3 linked regions of the Pelodiscus sinensis genome follow. The protein of the gene in region 3 purifies or fractionates together with the protein of the main gene of each other region. This does not show direct contact. Links are inferred from orthologs where the notes say so. Each region holds a gene or a part of one and is shown on either strand. Other genes may lie near its edges. The genes, in order: OGDH, DLST and DLD.

The links.
Region 1: the proteins of DLD (region 3) and OGDH purify together in Homo sapiens (affinity purification with mass spectrometry; 3 studies listed by BioGRID and IntAct, counting the BioPlex papers as one, with this or other methods). This does not show direct contact. The link is inferred for Pelodiscus sinensis from reciprocal best matches to the Homo sapiens genes DLD and OGDH.
Region 2: the proteins of DLD (region 3) and DLST purify together in Homo sapiens (affinity purification with mass spectrometry; 3 studies listed by BioGRID and IntAct, counting the BioPlex papers as one, with this or other methods). This does not show direct contact. The link is inferred for Pelodiscus sinensis from reciprocal best matches to the Homo sapiens genes DLD and DLST.

What each region holds. Positions count from the first base shown.
Region 1 is NC_134738.1:4,939,960-4,946,972, reverse strand, and holds the start of OGDH (2-oxoglutarate dehydrogenase complex component E1), read left to right. Parts: upstream 1-3,966; 5' UTR 3,967-4,086; coding exon 4,087-4,095; intron 4,096-5,579; coding exon 5,580-5,828; intron 5,829-7,013. UniProt on the Homo sapiens protein: 2-oxoglutarate dehydrogenase (E1o) component of the 2-oxoglutarate dehydrogenase complex (OGDHC). Participates in the first step, rate limiting for the overall conversion of 2-oxoglutarate to succinyl-CoA and CO(2) catalyzed by the whole OGDHC.
Region 2 is NC_134714.1:44,204,370-44,212,376, reverse strand, and holds the start of DLST (dihydrolipoyllysine-residue succinyltransferase component of 2-oxoglutarate dehydrogenase complex, mitochondrial), read left to right. Parts: upstream 1-4,973; 5' UTR 4,974-5,061; coding exon 5,062-5,130; intron 5,131-8,007. UniProt on the Homo sapiens protein: Dihydrolipoamide succinyltransferase (E2) component of the 2-oxoglutarate dehydrogenase complex. The 2-oxoglutarate dehydrogenase complex catalyzes the overall conversion of 2-oxoglutarate to succinyl-CoA and CO(2).
Region 3 is NC_134711.1:27,156,533-27,163,738, reverse strand, and holds the start of DLD (dihydrolipoyl dehydrogenase, mitochondrial), read right to left. Parts: upstream 3,100-7,206; 5' UTR 2,980-3,099; coding exon 2,941-2,979; intron 1-2,940. UniProt on the Homo sapiens protein: Lipoamide dehydrogenase is a component of the glycine cleavage system as well as an E3 component of three alpha-ketoacid dehydrogenase complexes (pyruvate-, alpha-ketoglutarate-, and branched-chain amino acid-dehydrogenase complex).

The sequences.
Region 1 (7,013 bases), on a different chromosome or scaffold from region 3:
ACTTATGCTTATATGTGTAGGGTTCACTTCACCAGTTTAGCAGCCTAATTTTTCCTTTAATCAGACATTCATTCTCTTAATCCTCTGTTTGTTTGGCTTGGTCCTTGCTTAAGCAAAAAGTGATTCCCAGTCTGTCTTCTGTGACAAGTTTTATTGACTCTTCTGGCTGGTTTGAGGCCAAATTAAGTAGCTTAATCTACAGTGTTTAATGGTCTGTCTTTGTATAGTTTGAATACTGGGTTTATTCTGAATATTTGTAGTCACTGATCTTTCAGTGAAAACAACTAAAAACAGGGAATTGAGGAATTTCTGAGTTTGAGTCCAGCTTTAATGCTTCCTTGTCAACACAGCTGTACATGTGATCAATACATTTGAATACTGTTTTAGTTAAACTGGTTCAGCTTTGTATCTGAACTCTCATCGGTTTACTTTATATCGGCACATTTACAAGCATAGGCTAAATTAATGTATCTAAATATAAACCAATATGAGTCTCCCCAGACAGGCTGTAAGGTGTAACTAAACTGATTCATATTAAACCTGTGCAGCTTCTGAGTATAGACAAGCCAAAGCACTTTATTTGGAATTGGGCAGATCAGTTCTAAGCCAAAACTTTTAAAATATTTACCACTAATACTTTTTTGACACTTCATCTCTTAGGAGCCTAATAGTGGCTTGTGTACATAGGGTTATTCCTGAAAATCTCTACCCATCGACACTTACTTTGGAGCAAAAGTTCTCCGATCCCATTGAAAGTAGATTAAGCTAAACAGGAGCCAAGGCACTCTTGTTCCAAATAAAAGTGCCTATGCTTGGAGTTACTAAAAATAGCTATTGTTTTTCTGTCTCATTCAGGGAGACACTCAGAATCCCTATCAATCCTAAGATATGAAATCAACAGACTTGCATCCCAAAAGACTGAGTGTTTGTTTGCTTCTGTTTTGATGCAAAACCACTGGGAGTCTGTCGAGATCTGACAAGATGTTGGTTTACAGACTTAAGGAAAAGACTAACAGAAATAAGATCACTGGTATTTGTGATGGTAGCAGTAATTATACACAAGTCAGATGTTAATAAACACTTTTAACAATTGTATGCACAGCTGTAGCCCAAGAAGGAATCAATAAAAGATGCCCTATTTGTGAATTGTCTCTGTCACAGATCTGTTGGAAAGAGCTTTCTGATGTTCCTCTAGAAACTGGAGCAATAGCTTAGACTTCAAAAGAAATGAAGGTTGGAAAGACCAAATGAATTTTAACAAATGTTCTCTGAAACTTGAACACCTCTGTTCAGTGAAGCCATGGATGACCAAACTCTCCTACCTCCTCTAAGAGAATCTGTTCCTTCAGTTAGCCCTAAACCTGGGAAAGTCAATAGACTAATAGTTACTGGCCAGTTTTTTAGCCAGAGCATTTGCTATGGAATTGTGCAAAGGCCTCGCACACGCAACAAGCTTGTTACCCAGATGAGCGCTAATTAGAATGCTTAGACTCAACTTTTGCAGGTGTTGAGTTCTCAACAGTCATTGTTCTCAGCATCTTTGAAAGTCATGTCCCAAATGTCTCCAGTTGGACACCAGAATTAGATTACTCCATGAAAAGTTGGTCCATAAGCCTCTCTGAATGGTAACTACCAAGAGGTAGAATCCTAGTGATGACGAGGCAGTGGGTAGTTTTTTGTACAAGTTAGCAGGTTGATTTAAAGTGGGTAGTAGTGTACCGGAGGTTCCCTGATTCCCACAGCTTCCATTGGCCGGGAGCAGCAAACCACAGCCCCTGGGAGCTGTGAGTAGCATGCCTGCAGACACTCAGTAAGCAAACTGCCTTGCAGCCCCCAGCAGCTAACCCTGACCAGCCCGAACCGGAGGCTCCCCACTCCTGATTTAAGGGCTATGTTTTCGCTGCCAAAAAGGGGGTGGAGCAGCAGGTTAGGGTATGTTATCTTGCTGAAGGTAAGACACAGCCATAGACTTGGAGGGACCTTAGGGCTTTTACCTTGATGTACAAAGTCATGTGGGAAACTGCAGCATAGTTATCTTCTCCAGGATTTTACCACCTGTTAAGAACGTACCTTTTCCCTTAGTGAAGTCACAGTGTAGTGCTGTGAAGGGCTTTGAGTGCACAGCAAGGAAGGCACTATACTTCTCTACTCCAGATTGTCCCTCCTTGGTCTGGCACCCTGGAGATCTGACGGGTCCTGGACCAGGGGCAGTCAGTGCCGGCCCCTCTGCTGCCCTGGCTGCAGGGATCTGCTTGATGGCAGCAGAGGGGCTGGCATTGACTGAGCAGGGACTGGGTGGAGGGTGCTCGGCAGAAGAGACGGGGTGGCAGTGTAGCCTTCTCCTGGGCGTCTTGCCTCCTGTCCCCACTTTTCCAGCTCCGGAAGCTTTTGGGAGGACGGGAGGAACAGCTGAGCATTGGGCCTCAGCTTTTCCTCATGAGGGTTCCAGCCCAGGAGCACCCATGGGGATGTCAGGCCAGAGATGGTCTCCGGGTGAGGGAAATCCAGACTAGAGGTGCAGCCTGTAGCACTCCATTGAATTCTGGCCCAAAAGCACCATGGCAGCTCGGTGAGCAATGCAATAAAATTGTAGCTGGAAGAAAAGTGCTGTCCTAGTTAACCAGTTGCAACTCCCAGCCAGCAACTCTCAGCCAGTGCCTATTAAATAGGAAAGGGGGTAATGGAAAATGTTTCCAAGCTGGGTTTATGTAACCAAAGTTGTTTTCTTGCGGTTTTTGCTTATGAAGGAGGGTTGTGCCATCTTCACATGAGGTTGCTGGAGAAAATGTAACATTGAACCCCGTGATCCAGCTGCCAAACAGACCCTGCCAGTTCTCAGCTGGGGATAGGGGCTTTTTATGTCCACTTAGTGGGCTCTCACTGAACAAACTTGTTTGTGTTTTTAAGTAAATGTTTTGTAAACGAAAGGCCGAAACCCTCTCCCCAGCCAGTGTACCAATTCTGGAAGTAGCCTCCAGCTCACATGCCACTGTCCTAGGGCTTTTAAAAGAGACAAACTGCTGGGTATTGTATGGCCTGGTGACGGCTGCTCTGCTGACAGACTGATCCGTAAGTATTCTGTGTGTTATGACGGCATGTAGCTGCACCAATAGCTTGTGCACTGTCACTGACATTTCTTTTTGTTTTTAAAGGGGAGTCAGTGTTCATCTCAAGGACTAGATTTGAAATGTTAATAGGAATAGCTGGGAAGGGGAGCAGAGGTGTAAGGGCCAGATTTTCAGATGTTCCACTTCCATTGGAAAATTTTCCTTTTTTTAAATAGGAAAAAACAACTAAAAAGCACAGGAATTGGCAGAAGGACAAGAAATTATTTGAAGCTTTTTTTTAATTGACTCAATTACAGTACAGGCAGTCCCCGGGTTACGTACAAGATCGGGACTGTAGGTTTGCTCTTAAGTTGAATTTGTATGTAAGTTGGAACTGGTACATATTGTAGGGGAAACTCTAGCCAAACATTTCTCCAGAGCTCAGTTTTATTCTCCCACACCTCACTTCCCTCAGTCCTTTATTCTCAAGCTGAGGTGTCTGCTGAGAAAAGCCGCTCCGCGTCTCCCTGGTCTGCTGGGGGGGGGCGCTAGCTTCGCGTCTCCCTGGTCTGCTGGGGGGAAGCAGCTAGTGCGGGGTTGCCTCACCCCGTTTGTAAGTAGGGATCCGATGCAAGTCGGATCCATGTAACCTGGGGACTGCCTGTACTGTCTCAGCCGAATAAACAGGCATTAGCCATAAGATAGCTTTAGGAGTCTGATTCACTAAGGCTAGGTCTTCACTGCAAAAACCTTGCATTAGTTTTGAGATAGTTGTCTTGCTGTAAGTTCTTAGTGGAGACAAGGTATGGGGAACTTTTACAGCAAGGTGGCTACTTGTGGTCTCCTTCATCTGTCTGCAGTAAGGTACTTTTGGTTTGTGTCCACAGGGATTTAGCATTGAGATGGTCAGATGTCACCTATTTTTTTTCCAGTGAAGACATAGCCTCGGAATCCCAGCCCTCCACTCTTTAAAGGGAAATAGGGCCTTTCCTGGAACCCGCGTCTCTCGCGTTTAGTTGGACAGCAAATCCAAGAAGATATGCTTCTTGTATGTTACGTTTTAATTTTGCATAATAGCTGATAATTTTACTCTGATGGCTTAATGACCTCTTCCTAGTGCACTAGGAGGAATGGCGCACATGTTGTAAAATGCCTGCATATGTTGCGCTGCACGCAAGGGCAACTCTTTCCCTGCCCCGCGTGTTTGGGAGTGAGCAATGTGGACACTAAGAGAACTGCAGGGAGGTGGGAATGGGAACAAAGTTCAGCAGAAGTGCTGCTGAGTGGCAGTCTCAGCATTTTGCCTCCACTGCTTCCAGTGAGTTGCAATTACGCTCTCTTGGGGTGCCTTCCCTGTCAGTAAATCCATTTTCCCAACATCCCCTTTGCTTTTAATCATTCCTACCTCTCCTCTAGCTTTGCTTCTGATGCTCTTTGTCCGCAGCCTACTGACCAGCTTTCTCTGATCACATTTACAGCCTAGTGTTCCCTCCTTTATTCCTGTGCCCCAAGAGGTATAAATGATCAGACCTTTCTCATTTTATCAGCGGTTGTCAGAAAAACGAACATCTGTTCACAATGGAGTACTGCTTGATAAATGTAAAGCTTACAAGTTGATATATTAAACTTCAGTTTTAGGTGATGTAAACTGAAAGCAAAATAGGGGAGAAAAAGTTGCTGTTAGGGTTGGATTTCACTTTCTGCTTTAGTTCCCTACTCCCCAGCCAATTGCAGCCAGTCAGTATGGGAAGGGATGTTAGTGTGTAATCATTTAAATGATTTGATTGATTGATAAGCCTGGTCTTATCTGTTAATTCTAATGACCAGGGCTCGACAAATAATACAATCTACTTGCCTGTGGCGAGTAGATGGTAACCCGGAAGAGCTGGGTTCGGGCGTTCTGCGCATGCGCAGATCGCTGGACAGCGCAGCTGGTGAGCTGGGCTCGCCGCGGTTTGGTGAGCCCTGCTGATGACTACATGCCCCTCGCCCCCAGGTTGCTGGTGGCTCCCCCCATGTATTGGCTCCCCCAGAACTGCCTGGGGTAGGCAGGAGAGAGTGCTTCTCCCCCCGTCTACCCCACATGTAAATGTGTAACAATTAAAAAAAATCCAGTGGTTACATGTTTACGCACGTGTTTGTTAACATCCCTATTGGGGAGTGGAGGGGATTAACCCAAAGGGATACTAGTCCATATCTTAATTCAGTAGTTGTGCAGTGCCAATACCCATACTAAGCTATTGGTTTCAAGTAGCCAAATGAGAAATCTGACTGGAGGAGGGGCAGCGTGGCCTCCTGGATGGAGCGTTGCTCTAGGACATGGGAAACCTGTTACTGGCTCCGCTCTGCTGAGTGACTCTGATTCCAGTCTCAATCTCCATTTTACAGATGGGGAAACAATGTTTGAGAAGGGCTTTGAGATCTGTGGATGAGAAATGCTAAGTAACAGCTAGATGGTTATTGGGTTGATTTCTCTTTGTAAATTGCAAAACAGTTCAATGTCTAAAATGCTTCTTATTCCTATACCAACAGGAGCTTGTGAGCGGCTACAGGACAAAAATGTTTCACTTAAGGACTTGTGCTGCTAAATTGAGGCCGTTGACGGCCTCACAGACTGTTAAGACAATTTCCCAACACAAGCCAGCAGCACCAAGGACGTTCCAGCAAATCAGGTGTTACAGTGCGCCTGTGGCTGCTGAGCCGTTTCTGAGTGGGACTAGTTCGAACTATGTGGAGGAAATGTACTATGCGTGGCTGGAAAATCCCAAAAGTGTACATAAGGTAAGGAGGAGCCATTCGTCCAGGATATTGTTCCTTCATCTCCTGCATGTGTGTGAGAGAGAGTCCAATGGCACAGTCAGGTAAGTGCAGATGTCCGGAAGGAATTCAGCGCAAAGAGCCTGGGAATCACGAATCATCAGTTCCACGTCCGCTTCTGTGGAAAGAACCAACAGTGTTTAATTGAGCAATAGCAAAACAATTCGATCCTGCTTCGTTCTGGATTGAATCCGAGAAGCTCAGAGCATTCAGTCAACTCGGCATGTTCTGCTTTGGGAATCAAAGGTGGATTCAAAGAGAAGAGCTGCCTTTCCTGGGAATCCCCCTCTTGCTGAGCTGCTGCTTTTCCTTTCTGATGGAGTGTTGGGAGAGCAGGGAGGAGGGAATTGGGTTCAAGTTCTGTGCATTCCACTATTAATGTGGGATGCAAATTGTGCTCAGCGCGGCAGTGTTTGATCTCCTGTGAGTAAGTATGCTGGCTCTGCTGCAGAGTCGTTCTTCCAACACCACTTGGGTGGCAGAAATGTGGGTATAAAATCCTCTGCTGTGGTTAGCAGAGCTCTTTCTACCAGCCATTCCTTAACTTTTCCTCAAGCTACTAACTTCAGAAGATAATTATTCTAAGGGTTACAAGTGTAAAATTCTAGTGAGCTTTAGTCTATCCAGAGCTGGTATCCGATAGCATACCACCTTGAAATCTGTCACTAACATGCATGTGTTGGGTTAATGGCCATCACACACAATCACTTTGGCCATGGTCCGTGGTAGATTAAGTTTACAAGTTTCAGTACAGTATTCAACCCTATACAAACGCGTGCAGCTCTGTTTAGCATAATTGTCTCATAAATCCCTCTTAGCGGGGCTGAATTTGGACCACAGGAAGTAGTCTGTTGGCTAGTAATTGCCAGGAGCCATTACCAAGCAAAGTGTCACTGGAAGTCTGAGGAGTAACTGTATGAAGTTAATAATAGACATTGAACTAGCTCTGCTATTGCTGTACACTAGACAGTCTTACAGTTAGAGGGTGAAATTAAAAACCTCCACTAGGAAGGAATGCTTGGTGGGGCCAGGAGGTGATCTTCAGCCTCATGTCTAAGGGAAGCTTGCGGAATTGTAGACTTAGCTGCTTTCCCGTCTCATCTCTGGGCAAGCTTTGGAGAGGCTATGAACTGAGACCTTGCACTGTGT
Region 2 (8,007 bases), on a different chromosome or scaffold from region 3:
GAGAGTGCCTGGAAACTGGCAAATGAGAAGAAGCACAGAAGCACTGGCAGGGGCATTGAGGAAACCTCTGAGCTTTGTCCCTGCTAAAGAAAGGGATGGGAAAGCCAATAGCAGCCAACCAGCTTCAAGTGCTTCTGAATATGCAAATGAGAGAAGAAGAGGTCAGGTTCAGACAGAGCCTGGGATCAGGGAGGGAGACCTTGTATCTGCAGCTGGGCCACTGGGGACCACAGAAAGTCAGCTGTTCAGAGAGTCTTTAATATGTGAAGTCTGCTTTTCAGATAGGACCATAAAGATAGTGCATAAAGAGCTCTGTGCATTAGCTTCTAGGTTCTAACTTGTTACAGGTCAGGATATCTATGCATTGACAGAGCTATGTCTGAGGCAGCTAAGACAGGAGGAACACGAGCTGCCATAGATCAAGATAGAATGGTACAGGAGCAGATCGTTGGGGCAGGGATGAGCAGTGAGAGCAGGAATGGAACAAGGGCTTCCCCGCATCTTAGCTCAGCCCTGAATGGCACAGTCCCTAATACCACAATCTGTAATTTTCACTCAGAATTTCACCTCTGCTATGCCAGTTCACACCAACAATTCCTCTAGACTAGTATGACACCTGCTGTGTTTCAGCAGAAGATGAAATCTCCTATATTGTACCTGGTGAGGAATGCACTGCTGCACATGAGAGCAATGCCTTTCTGATTGTGATAATTCTCTAGACACCATCTTAGAGAGAGTTCAGAAGGTTTCAGGAGCTCTGTGACAATATTGAGGCTGGCTGACAGCATCTCTCTTGGGCCATATGAGAATGGGGGGGGGGGGCAAAAAAGAGGGCACCTCTGTGTCAGAAGAGTCCTAATAGAGAAGATTTTGTTCTCCTGCAAAGCTAAACAAAACAGGATTGCACTGCAATATAAAAACATAGAAATAATGAAGATGGGAAGACAGCAACATCTTAGAGGATTTTGGAGCTTGAACCTGGTCTGGTAACATGAAATACACGGCAGAATGCAGGTAAAATAGAGCAAGAGACATAGAATTCTCCCCAAAGTGTTCAGTCACAAATTTAATTAATACTTTTTTTAACAATTGCCATCAGCCTAAAAGTATGCCCTCTGGAAGGGTAGCCAAAGCATGAAAGGGGTGTATGAATGTTTTGCATCTCTGGCATGTAAATAGCTTGCAAAGCTAGCTACAAAAGTGCCATGCAAACACCTGTTCTCACTTTCAGGTGACATGGTAAATAGAGGTGGGCAGCACTATCTCCCATATAAATGTAAACAAACGTATTTGTCTTAGTGATTGGCTAAACAAGAATTAGGACTGAGTGGACTTGTAGGTGTTAAAGTTTTACATTGTTTTGATTTTGCTTGCAGTTACGTGTCAAAAAAAATTACATTTGCAACTTGCACTTTCACAATAAAGAGATTGCCCTATAATACTTTTAAGAGGTGAATTGATAAATAAAATGTATTTTGTTTATCTTTTTACATGAAAATATTTATAATAAAAATGATAATATTAAGTATACTTTGTATTCTGTATTGTAAATGAAATCAATATATTTGAAAATGTAGAAAAGCATCCAAAATATTTACATAAATTATATTCTATTATTAACAGCACAATTAATCAGTTAATTTTGTAATCTCATGATTAATCATGATTAATTTTTAAATCACTTGACAAACCCTAGTAACAAATAATTGTACTTAGTATTTTACATTTTTAAAGCACTTTGCAAACAGTAACTTTAGAAATTTGAACCAGTAGTCCACAGTAGCTTGTAAGTTTCTTCCTGCTCTCAGAACTGGAAGTAAGTATTCTGTGGGAAATAATCTACCTTTCCTCAGGAATGGATAGCAAAGAGTGACTAAAGAGTCTTTCACCTCTCCTTAATGGAACAATGTGATTAACCAATGAAAGCTTGTTTAGATGATGTCATCTTTGTAACTAGCTATCTTGATGGACGGCTCTGCTGAGGATGGATTTTCCCTGGAACCAGACTGAATTCACCTGCTCAGCTGAATTAATCAACTCTAAGTAAATTTTTTATTTTTCTAATTTCCCTCCAGATACTTAGAGAGATGTTTAATGAAAGCCTACCATGCATATTTTTTTCCTGTTAGGCAGGAATCTTTTGTTAAGGACAGCTGTTTTCCAGTGTCTTGCTCAAGGACAGCAGCATTCCAGTGAAGAATAACTGAAAAAGTTCTAGATTTGGCACTTTACAAGATCTTAGGGATATAAATGACTAGTCGACTATCTGCTAAGCAAAAGCTTATTGGGTAGTCAACTAGTCCCTCAACTAGTTGCTTTCCCCCCACTTGCTGCCTCTGATAGAGGCAGCAAGAGGGGCAGACCTAGGGCTGGGGGGAGCTGGTTTAAAAGCTGGTTCCCCCCAGCACTGTCTCTGCAAGGGGCAGGGGAAGCAGGGGGATAGTGGGGACCGGGTGCTGTGCCTCTGCTTTTTAAATGTATTAAGAGCCACCTGGCTCTTCATACTTTAAAAATCAGAAGTGCAGCAGCGGGGATCCAGCGCAAGCCCGACCAGCTGATTGTCAGCTTGTGCCAGGTCCCCTGCTGAGCTCCAGCCTTTTAAATGTATTAAGAGCCGGTAGGGAGGGCTCTTAAATGTATTAAGACACGGGAGGGGACCCAGCACGAACCGGGAATCAGCTGTCCCAGCTCACGCAGGGTCCCCCCTGCTGCACTTCAGTCTTTTAAATGTATTAAGAGCCAAGAGGCTCTTAATACATTTAAAAGGCAGAGCTGCAGAGGGGTTAGTTTCCAGGGCAGGGAGCTAACCCCACTGCTGCTCCCCCACTTATTGACTAATCAATGGAAAATCTATCGACTAGTTGATTAGTTGATTAAACTAAATTTAACATCCCTAGGGCTCTATTTCCTTTTTGTTTACATGCCAGCAGAGTTTCAAAGTATTGGAGAATGTCTCTTATTGATTTTTCTAATATTTTTCCTTTAAAAAATTCCTAGGAAATTCCCTGCAAAATTCTTTGCAGAGTATTATGGTTACATAGATGCTCAAAAGTTATGAAAAGCCTTAATTATGGATGTACACTCAATCTTTACTTTCCCTTTTGGAACAGATGCCTCATTACAATGCAGTTTTTAATTACAGGATCACAGACTATTGCAGGTTTAGTACAGAGTTTCTTAAACTTTGTAGTAGCATTCACCTCATGTTAAGAGGAAGCTGTTTCATGCTCCTTTCTTGCCATTTCCAGTTGTGCAGGTGACCTCCTATTTCTATCCAGGTAACATGCCTGTGGCAACTGAAACATTTATTTATATCAAATGTAATGTCCAGAAAGTAATTTACTGTAGCTGTCACTAGTGTGATTTTAGCAGGAGAAAACAAAGAGGATTATAGCAACTTTAATCAGCCTGCTTTGGGGGGGGGGGGGGGGGAGCCCTGAGCCTCAGGAGCCAGATACAGGTAAGCTGGTTGCCTTAGGTTTCCCACTCCTTCTGTAAGTGGTCTCAGTACCACTAAGTGGGACAGTACACCAAACCTAGCAGGTGTGTGAGTTACATCAGCAGAGTGACTAGCATCAGTCATGTGTGGATCTTTCTCTTTCCCACAGCCTATGAGCTATAGTATGTGAGAATGATGGGCACAGGGTATTTCTGTTTAAAGAATATTGTAAGAACTTGGAATGAAAGGTGGTGAGGTTTGTGGGGGTCTCAATCCTGAGAGTATGTACTATACTCTTGGGCTACGTCTACACTGGCATGATTTTCCAGAAATGCTTTTAACGGAAACGTTTTCCGTTAAAAGCATTTTCGGAAAAGCGTGTCTAGATTGGCAGGATGCTTTTCCGCAAAAGCACTTTTTCCGGAAAAGCGTCCGTGGCCAATCTAGACGCGGTTTTCCGCAAAAAAGCCCCAATCGCCATTTTCACGATCGAGGCTTTTTTTGCGGAAAACAGGACTATGCTGTCTACACTGGCCCTTTTGGGCAAAAGTCTTTCGGAAAAAGACTTTTGCCCGAATGGGAGCAGCATAGTATTTCCGGAAAAGCACTGATGATTTTACATGACATCGTCAGTGCTTTTCCGGAAATTCAAGTGGCCAGTGTAGACAGCTGGCAAGTTTTTCCAGAAAAGCTGCTGATTTTCTGGAAAAACTTGCCAGTCTAGACACAGCCTTGGATTGGCCCCTGCGAATACTCTGTCTTCTGAACAGATGAGCTTTACCCTTACTTCGTTCAGTTCTGTGACTCCCTTATCTCCCATCCTCCTAGCCATAACTTCATCTTCTCTGACACCCATATTGCATCCTCTGGTCCATTCAAATTACAAGTGCCAAGATCACCTTCATGGCCAGTCACTGACCACAGAATCCATCTCTGCACCCTTGTAAGGGCTCCCCCACTGTCATTCCTCATCAGGTTCCAATTCCTTGTTCTCATCTGAATAGCTTCTCTGCCCTTCCTTGATTCACCCTCCCAGCCCTCTACTCTACCAACCATGCCAGCGCATCTGCCTGCTTCTCGCACAACGGCTCATTATATACTGGCCCCGCCTCCTCCATCAAACCCTCCTCCTATCCCACTGCCGACACCAGCCTTGTGAGTACTGAGCCGGAGCGAGACGTCTGGACTGGGGCAGGGTGGGGCACGTTTTCCGCTCGGTGCACCCTGCGGGTGTCACGCCGCTTCCGGGTGTTCTCTGAGGTCCTGTCCTGAGCGCGGCTCTGCCCCCACTGCCATGCAACAGGGCGGTTCAGCCCCACTTCATGAGACCCCACGGGGTGGTTCAGTCCTCACGCCCCCCCCCATCGCCTCGGGGTGGTTCATTCCTTCCGCCATTCCCTTCTGCTCCCACCAGCTTTGCTCTTCGGGTGCACTCGTGCTGCTCCTTAGGAGAATTCACTGTCTGCGTCCCCAGCCCCGTGGTTGGTACGATCCCCTGTGACACACCCCCCCCCCCGCATATGCGCCCGAGGTTGGTCCGCCCCGGCCCGCTTCCGCCCTGTGCCGGGCCTGGTTCCGGTGTCCGCCCTCCGGCTGCTCCTGCCGTCGCTGCCGCCGCCGCGATGCTGCTATTGTCCCGGTCCCGCTGTCTGAGCGGGGCGCTTGGCCGCTCACTCTGCGCGCTCCGGCAGGTACCGCCCGGGGCGGGGGCGGGGGCGGGAGCGGAAGGGACGAACGGGCAGCAGCGCCAAGGGCACCGGGACGCGGTGTCACGTCCCCGTTCTGGGCCGACTCCTGGAGAAACTCCTGCGCCCGGTCCCCCGCGGGCCGCTCCCTCGTGGGACCCCCATTGCGCACCCGCCGTGCGCACCGCGAGCCTCAGGGGAACGTGTCCCACAAGCCGTGCCCCAAGCTGGGGCCCCGGCGAACAGGGCGCTGCCTCAGATCCTCCCCTCCCCCCCCTCGGAGCAAATCCCTTGTGAGGTCTGTCCGTGGACCGGCCTGGCGTGGGGAGTGGCAGCTGAGGGAAACCCCGCGCCCCAAGGATACGCCTGCCAGTCTAAAGCCGGAGTCCCGAATGGCGAGGGCTATTTGAGTCCAGACCCTGCAGGATGGGGCTGATGGAATAGGTCCTGAGCATAGCCAGAGACAGCACCGGTTGGGCAAGCAGGGCCGCCTCAACTGCAGCCTGATAGCCTGCCCAGCATTTGCCCTCAGAACTCCCTAATACCATCCTTGTGGCTCTTATTCTTGGGCAGGCAACTGTTGCAAGCTGTGTGCTGGAGCCCTCCTGAGGAGGAGTTACAAGGACAGCCTATTGTCAGCTCTACTATCAGGAGGTCATCCTACATGGAATAAACAGAAAGACAGCTATGCCACCGTAAACATCTTTGTAGCTGTCTGATACCAGGATTTTTTTATACCCACTCATATTCTGCTCTCCTAATATGTATCTCCTAAAACACAGTCTCTTTGGTACACATATACCATCCTTGTGACAGCTTTCTATCTGGTTTATGCGACTTGCATTGGTATTGTTAATCTAGAGAAGCAAGTAATTTTGACAGCACCTTAAGTGTTCATAAAACTTTACAGGCACCTAAAGAATGATCTCTGTTTCAAAAACTGTATTGTGGGAAGCTTTGTTATGGGGAGAAATTGGCAAAATATAAATGGAAATGTAGCAGAAGACTGGGGATTCGTCTAGACTGGCATGATTTTCCACAAATGCTTTTAACTGCAAAGTTTTCCATTTGAAAGCATTTGCGGAAAAGAGTGTCTAGATTGGCACGGACGCTTTTTGCGGAAAAGGGTCTGTGGCAGTCTAGACGCGCTTTTGCGCAAAAAAGCCCCAGTCGCCATTTTTGCGATCGGGGCTTTTTTGTGCAAAACAAATCTGAGCTGTCTACACTGGCCCTTTTGCGCAGAAGGACTTTTGTCGGAACGGGAGCAGCATAGTATTTCCGCAAGAAGCACTGATTTCTTACATGAGATTGTCAGTGTTCTTGCAGAAATTCAAGCGGCCAGTGTAGACAGCTAGCAAGCTTTTCTGCAAAAGCAGTTGCTTTTGCGGAAAAACTTGCCAGTCTAGACACAGCCAAGAAGTAGCAATTGGGTACCTCAGTAATGAGTGTGTAATTAGGGCAGAAAGATGATAGCAAGGACAAGGCATTTCTACTTGATGTAGAATTAGCTGTGAAATCAATTGAGAAATGTTTGTGTTTGGGTAAGAAGGCCAAGGAAGTAGTGGTCATCAAGCAAGAGATAATAGGGCATAGACAAAAAGTTTTGACATTGAGAATAAGGAGGAAGAAGCAGATTTTGGAAATGCAGAGGGAGACTCGCCAGAATTTGGTGGATATCTAATGGCAGGAGGAGAGAAGAGAAGACGAGGATGACCCTCAGGTCTGTGGGCTTGAGTGACTAGGAAGATAGGGGAGTGGTCAGCAGGAATAGAGATAAGGAGAAGGAAGAAAAGTGTTGGCGTTTTGATATGTGAGGAAGAAAGAAGATATGCAGAAAGAGAATTTGAAGAGACAAGCAGCATTATGGGATTGAAGACAAGAGATGAGTTGCCAACATAGGAATCATGTACAAGTGCTGAGAGAGGAGGAAGAGAAGGCCATTTACTACTGCCATTGGGCACAAAAGTGAGGAGAATTACTACCTATAGAGGGGTTGAACAGAGAGGAGGGCCCCAGAAGCCCTCAGAGGAAAGGGTCCAAAGAAAGAGTGTAGTTTACAACACTGAAAACAGCAGAATTCACAGTGAATGAGACCTTTGGGATATATTTAGGAAAGAAAGGATCATAAAAGTTAGTGGGGAGATTGGCAGGGAATTCGAGAACAGGTCAGGCTGCCAGTTTGGTAACGATATCTTCTGTCTGCTCAGCATTACCGTCTGCATTGCATCTTAGCACCTGTCTCCTTCTCTATCTACCTGATGTGTATAATTACTAATTGTTGAAATCAATGAGTAATTTGAAATACTTGGTTCTCTTGTTTCCAGCAATGGGTTACACTGGCAGCCCTCTCTGTCAATGCAGCAGCCCTCTCTGCTGTAAGCAGTTCTTCCACTATTTCCTATGTGTGTGCAGAAGTCTTTGCCACAGAGTGATTGGTCTGTCATGCCACTTCCAAAGCTTTCCAGCCCTTTGTCTATTGGAAGTTGTGCTTGGAGCCGTGAAACTGGCTTTGCCCAGCGTGATTCTATTCTCTCAATGCTCTTATCTGAACTGGCTCTTGTTTCCAGTATAGGACTGAGGACACACAGCATGCCTACAGTCATCTTCCGTATTCCATAGGGGGACTTTTCAAATGTCATGAGTGGCATTTCCCTAAAAGATAGTATGGAGATGGTTAAATATATAGGGGATGCCTTTGGTGATAGACTGGTTCCAGCATGTTGAATGGTTCTGAGAAGTTATGTGAAGGTAGGGAAAGATTAAATTAATTGGTAGCTTGATCTGGGGAAGTGTAAGTTAAGAGATTCGTAGTGCTACAGTCAGTTTGCTAGATCTATAGATTTTGCTTCCTGTTCAGGCTCCTACTTTCCTGTGAAGGGTATG
Region 3 (7,206 bases):
TGTTTAATTAGAAAACCCAATACATTACAAAGATTAAAAATAGGTAGCAGTTGTGAACTCCGTGGATAACGCACTGCTGTGGTATACAGAAAACTTAGCTCTGCCACTAATCTGTTGTGCTTCCTGTTGTGCTTTCATCTTGTGTATCTCTGTTTCTATTCCAATCTTTATTTTGTCCACTTAGATTGTAAGATCTTCAGGGCAGGCAATAGTTTTTACCACATGCATGCATTACATCTAAAACAACAGAACCAAAAGTTGCTTCGCAGATCAAACCAGCCACGAATTGCAAGGATTAAGAAAACCCCTTATCATCATCTGTTAACTGTATGTTATCTTGTAACATTCTCTGAGCATCAGGTACTAATGGCTGTTGGAGAAGATGTTCAGACTAGATAGGCAACCGATATTGTAATTGCTATAAAACAAAACCTATATAAACACACTAGAATACTTACCCCGCATTGTCTGGATCATGCTGCCTAAGAATGGAGCGGGGAGAGGAGTCCGGCACAGGCTGCCTGCCTGCTTCTCCTGGGGCTGGCCCAGGGGACCGGGGGAAGGAAGGCTGCACCATGGCCAGCAGCTACTCCTGGGGACAGGCCAGAATGGCAGGGGTTGTGCTGCCAGCCAGCAGCAGCTCCCCAGAACTGGGGTGCTTGCTACCCCCCTGTAGTTATTTGTGAATAAAACCGTCTCTGTTCTTACATCTCTACCTTTTCATATGATGAAAACAATCGTATTCCACGCACATCCCATTATCCTGGCACAACCAAACCCTGACCTTGCTTTAATTTATACGAGAAAGCTGCATGCCAAATTTGGTGGCCCTAGCTCTTATCATTTAGGAAGAGTTCTTGAAAAATGGACTCACAGATGAACAGGAGAGCCTTCAAGGAACACAAACAGTAGGCACTGAAATCTCTTGCACAACTCAGAGCATTGGGAAGTGAGGCATAAGAAACAGGCTCCAAGAGCCCCTCTGCCCACCTCCATGCACTGGGAGTGGAAGCAGCACACTGTGACATGCTTCAGGATTACCCAAGGCTGTGTAAGGCAACACACCACTACTATCTGTCCTTAGTGTAAATCAGCCTTATCTATGGCTCCTGTGACACAGCTTCCTGAAACTAACTGCCTCTGGGCCCACAAGCACAAGCCTCCAGGTCTACGTAGACCTGCTACGTAGACCTCACCCTTTCTGTAAAGGCTAGTGCTAGGGACACACCAACATCTCCCCCTCCTGTGTCCCAAGTGCTCCCTGCAGTATCCATCCCATCACTGGACACTCAGGCAAGGTCTACAAGAGGGAACCATGTCGAAATAAGGTACGCAATGCCAGCTACCTGAACGACAGCTGGAGTCAACATACTTTAGTTCAAGTTATTGTGGCAGGGGTGGGGGCACCAGAGGGTGAGGAAGAAACTCTCCCATTGATTCCCATTGGTCCACTCGAGTTGATGGGAGCATGATCAGCAGTCGATTTAGTAGGTGTTTACTAGACCCACTAAATCAAGCCCCAGGAGATCGATCACCGCAGTACCGATCTTCCAGTAAGTGTAGATAAGGCCTCAGTTATTACTGATTAAGCTGTGCCCAAAGAGACAGTGTATACACATCTTGACTGGTACAACACAGGATAAGGTACTATATAACATTACAGCACTAAAGTATATTTATAGTGAAAACAATCAAACATAATCCTTTCCTCTTTAATAAAATAGGTCTGCTCCCAAGAACTGAGTCCTTGATAAAGTTGCTGGTTATCTGGCAAAACCAGGATCCAAGTTTTCATGAATAGCTCCATTCGCCTCCTCAAGGGGTTTCCTCTGTGAATAATCACCGAAATGGCTTCGCTTCTCTTTTGTCTCCCAAATCTCATTGTTTCAACTCCAAACTCAGAATTGCCTATCGTCACCTACCCAATATTTGTTCTCCCGTGTGCTGGCCCCAACTCGTCTTCATATCCTCAAATTAACTTGAAAAATGTAGCTGACACTGTGTTTGTTTTACTACGCTTAATCTATATATTGTATGACTTAAAGGCAAATACATCAATTTGACCGGCAAAACCAGTTTTTCCATCTCCTCTGGGGACTTGTACCTTGACATCAACCATAAGATATATTTTCAGTAGACAGACAATTTTTAAAATGTATTCCATACAATTCATAATGGTATTAAGGACCACCATGATCCTGGCTTTGATTTAATATCTCATGCAACATTCTTTGTAGATAAATACAGTGATGGTGAAATGTTAGGTGTAATGAGTCTGTCAGTGGGGACAAGCATCATCATTACAGAACCGAGAGCCCTTTGCCAGTTGCACCCAAGGAGCTGTTAGGGTCACACACAAGCACCAAGCAGGCCAGATCAGAGTTACAGGCAGTGCTCCCTGTAAACTGTGCACGTGGGCTGCCGCCCAGGAGAAAGTCAAATGCCGCCCAACTGATTAGCAGCGCCCCACAGCCAGTCGCATGTGTTTGTACTAGGGCTGCACATCTGCACGTGCCTCGGCGCACGAAACAAATGTATTCTGCACAGGGAGGGAAAGGTTAGCGGGAACACTGGTTACAGGGGACGGGGGGGGGGGGGCACACACCAAGACCCCTCCGCTGGTTCAGGGTCGTGGTGACCGGGGAGGGGGTCCAGACACCAAGAGCCCCCTGCCTGGCTCAGGGTCCGTGGGGGCAGGGGACCAGGCACGGAGACCCCCGCTGCCCGGCGCGGAGTGGCGGGAAGGACTCACGGGGACGCGGGCACCACGCAAGCCCCGAGGTCCCTGGCCAGGCCGCATCCCTCCCCCCCCAAGGAGGGGTCAGTCTGCGCGCCCCGCCCAAGGCGGGGACGGTCGGTGCCCGCTGGCCCGGCCCAAGCCCCAGAGCGGCCCCCCGGCCGTGGCCGTGTCCCAGCGCCGCTCCCCGCCCGCGCGGCTACCTGGGCGAGCGCGCAGCAGACCCGGCTCCAGCTCTGCATTTTCCGGCCGCCTCAGGTTTAACCCCCGTCCGAGCGCCTCAGGCCTGGCAGCCGCGCCTCCAAGGTCTCCGCGGACTCGCGCAGGCGCACTAGGCCCGCGAGCGGACAACGACGCTGTCACCGAGCGGCGTCGCCTGAGCCCCGCGCAAGGGCACAACACTGCCCCCTGGCAGAGGAGGTCTGCAGGCGCAGCGGGTTGGCAGGGCTAGCCATAGTGGGCGTGGCTATGCAGATATGTCTGAACGCTCCGAGGCCTAGCAATAGGCCCTGCCTGGAGGGGGCTGCTGCAGCTCAGCTGAGTGTCTCCTTCCATGCAGCAGGCTGTACAAGAGTAATAGAGATGTAGCCCTGTTAGTCTAGTCTAGCTGAAACAAAAAACAGGACAATGTAGCACTTTAAAGACTAACAAGATGGTTTATTAGGTGATGAGCTTGCGGGGGGCCAGACCCACTTCCTCAGATCAAATTGTGGAAGAAAATAGGCATAATAGGTATATATGGTCATGCCTATTTTCTTCCACAGTTTGATCTGAGGAAGTGGGTCTGGTCCATGAAAGCTCATCACCTAATAAACTGTAAACTAACTGTACAGGAGAGTTGCAATACAGCTTCCTACAGCCACTATCTTGCCATAGATTTCAGAGCCCTCCAGGAGCAAAGGTTAAAATCTCTCTGTGGTATTTTGAAGTGAGTGAACATTGGTGGGGGAAATACATTTTCTTTAAAACCAGATCTACAGGGCCAAGGAGACTAGGGCTTTGCATAGTTCTTGTAGGTAGGATGGCAGGTGCCACAAATATAATGTTAAAGGAGCTGCATCATTCCTTCCAAGATGGCACCTTCTGTGCAGAGCACATTCACGCCTTCTGCACACTATGTCAGTCACTATCACGTTACTGTCATCCCATCCTCTGCGCTCTACAGGGGGCTGGAATCTATGCACTGGACAAGGGCAAAGATTGGGTGAATTGGAGACAGGAGCAGGGTGAGCTGATGGAGGCACATTATTCTCTTTCTTGCCTCAGAGACATTTCATTGGGCTGTTGTGATGTCTTAGGGATCGCCTACATATTCAAGTTACACAGCAACAAAACATTGTCACAATTTCAGGTTTTACATTTCTATACTAGATAAATCCCTTTTCTAATACCAGTTACCTTTTGCCTTTGAACAGTTCCCCAGCGTACGCCCTAGTCATGGGGGGAGGGTAGATCTAGCATTCACAGATAGCCTCCCACCATTGAAACTGTCTCTTGAGTTCTGGATAAAACTTCAGTTTCAAGCCTTCTTTTTAAAGGGCCTTTTTCTTCTTCCCCCTCATCACCTTCCTTTCATGGCATAGTGATTCATGATTATTCAAAGTGGAGAGCCTGAGATGTTTCAATTTCCTACTAAGTTGCGCAGTTGCGCAGCTTCCCATTAAGCATCATGCAGGGGCTCAGGGCCATAACGGGAAAAGGTGCCTCTCCCCCAGCCTTAAACAGCTGTGCCATGGGCAGCTCTTTCTTGGGACTGGCAGGGAGAGGCACTGCTCCACTCTCTGGAGCTGCTCTGTGCTGGGGGCTCTTCTCACCAAGCTGGGGCAGCTCTGTGCTGGGGCCAACAGGGATGTGTCCAACACAGCCGGTCTGGCTCCTAAGCAGAGGGGGTGGAAGGGAACATCATGTGCTCACTCTAGGACCTGGACCTGCTGTACTGGCCAATTCCCCGCAGGCCACTTCCAGGATGCAGCACGGTACCCCAGGACATGCATACACGTAGCAGTCTGCCGTAGCGCAGCTGACCAAGAGCTGCCCAAGTAAGCCCGAGTCAGCCTGATTCATTCTCTGTCCCCACTTCTTCTCCTCCATCCCAGAGCAGCTGAACAGCTGAGAACAGCTACGGTAATTTATGGCATTCAAGCTCTGGGAGGTAGGGGGAGGAGTGGGGATGAAGAGCAAATCAGATGATTCATTGTGCTCTGAAAGTGCTGGGAGGGAGGAGGAGAAATAGGAAGTGCAGGCTCCAGTGCCCCAGTGAGTGAAAGATACGTGTGGGAGGGGGGCAGACAGAGGGTCCACAGACAGGTGGAACCCCAGTGGGCCTCATGGAGCCTGCAGGCCACAGGTTGCCCACCGCTGGCCAAGAGGAATCCTTGGTTGGGAAGCGCCATGGCTGGTGTTTGCCCTGCGAAGAAGGAGGTACCCTAGAGCAGTGGTTTTCAAACTACGGGTCACAACCCAGTAGTAGGTCATAAAATGTCAGACACTGGGTCTCATTGCTAGGATTGCCAGGTATCTGGTTTTGAACCGGACAGTCCAGTATTTGAGCTTTCTGTTCGGGAAACAAATTGAGAAAATAGAAATGAGAAAATAGAAATGTCCGGTATTTTCTAAATATGATGTAATGTAGATTGTGATGTAATGTCAAGTGTGTCCAGTATTTTTGTTGAAACTATCTGGCAACCCTACTTGTTGCTGCAGTGGGATCAAGAGACGAATGGGGGTCCTAACTCAGACTATCTGCCTGTCCTGGCACTGCAGACTGTGCTGTGCCCTAGAAGCAGCTGGCAGCAGGCCTGGCTCCTAGGTGGGAGGGGGGCACACAGGGCTCCACACACGGCTCCTGCCTTGAGCACTAGCTCTGCACTCCCATTGGCTGGGAACAGGGCCGGCCTTAGGCCAATTCGACCGATTCAGTCAAATCGGGCCCCGCACCTAAGGGGGCCCTGCGCCCCTGAACCTGGAAGTGCCAGCCGGCGTTACAATTCAGAGCCGGGGGGAGGGGGGGCCTGCTGCACCAATATGTGGAGCTGGGTCTCTCCCCCGGCTCTGCCTGGAGCGGGCCCCGGACCCCCCGCGCGTTCTCCCACCTTGCCCCCAGAGCGTCCCCCTCAGCCCCGGACCGTCCCTGCCATGCGCGGCTCTCCCTCGCCACCTGCTGTTGCCATGTGCGGCATTGTAGGTGTGCGGGGCCCAGGCGTGACGTCACGTCATGCCCAGGATTTTAAAAGTCCTCGGAAACACATTGCGTGGCTGCCTCCAGGTTTGGACTCTGGGGCCTGAGCACAGACTCCAGCCCCACAACATGGAAGGCAGAAGGTAGGGAAGGGGCTTGTTCAGCAGGGGAAGGGAAGGGGAAGGTGCTTGTGGGGAGGGGAAGGGGAAGGAGCTTGTGGAGGGGGGGGGAAGAAAGGGGAAGGCACCAAGAGACAAATGGCAGGGGGCCAAATTCAGACAATGAGGAAAAGAGCAGGAGAGGAGGTGTCAGTGGGAGGGGGGACAGGGTGATGCTGGGAGAGGAGAGGGGAAGGGCATTGGGGGCTAGAGGAGAAGGGGGAGGTGCTGGAAGAAGGGGTGGGCATGAGAAAGGTGGGGATGGAGCAAGTCATGTGTGAGGGTACAGAGGGGCAGGAGGGTAATGGGGCAGAGAGCGGTGAGGGGGTAGGCATCAGGGAAAAAGAGGGCAAAGGGGACAGGGGCAGTAAGGGAAAGGGGAGGCACCAGGAGGGTGCAGGGCTAAGGGAAGGTGCAGGTGCCAGAGGATTCTGGGGAGAAGCAGAAGGGTAGACACCTGCAGGGGAGGGACCAGCACCAGAGGAGAGAGGCAGGACAGGTGTGTAGATGGAGGTGTTGGAAGAGGGGATGAGGAGGCGTAGCTCACTTGATCATAGTGGGGTTACTGGAGGATTGGGCACAGGGGGGAATGAAGGGCTGGTGGAGGGGGGCAGGTTGCAGGAGGGCTGAGGGCAGTGAGAAGGGCAGGAGTCAGGACAGCAGAGGAGGGTGAGGAGTTGGGGGGCAGCAGGCACCAGGGGAGATGATGGAGCAAGGAGAGGAGACATGGCAGCAGAGAGAAAAGGTAAAGGTTTAAAAATATTTATTAATAACTTAGTATGCTGCCCATGGCCAGTTTGTTTGTGCCTCGCAGTGCAGTTTGGGTTTATGTGGGGATCAACACGTGGCTGGCGAGTGGGAGCCAAAACAAAAAAGTAATCAGTGTAATGATCTTCTGCTGATATGCGTTTTAGTAGTTAAATTCTTGGACTGTCATTGCTCATTAAAAGTGCTGTCACATGGTAGAAATCGGGTAAATATTGAATTTTATTAATATCAGCAGAACTGACTTAAATGGGGTCTGTGTGTTGTGTAGTCTTGCCTTAATCTTTGTATTCATGCCTGTTAGTGTGAGAAAAGCTATTTGTATATATTTGCTTGCATATGCAACCACACTTAAGTTGAGGCCCTCA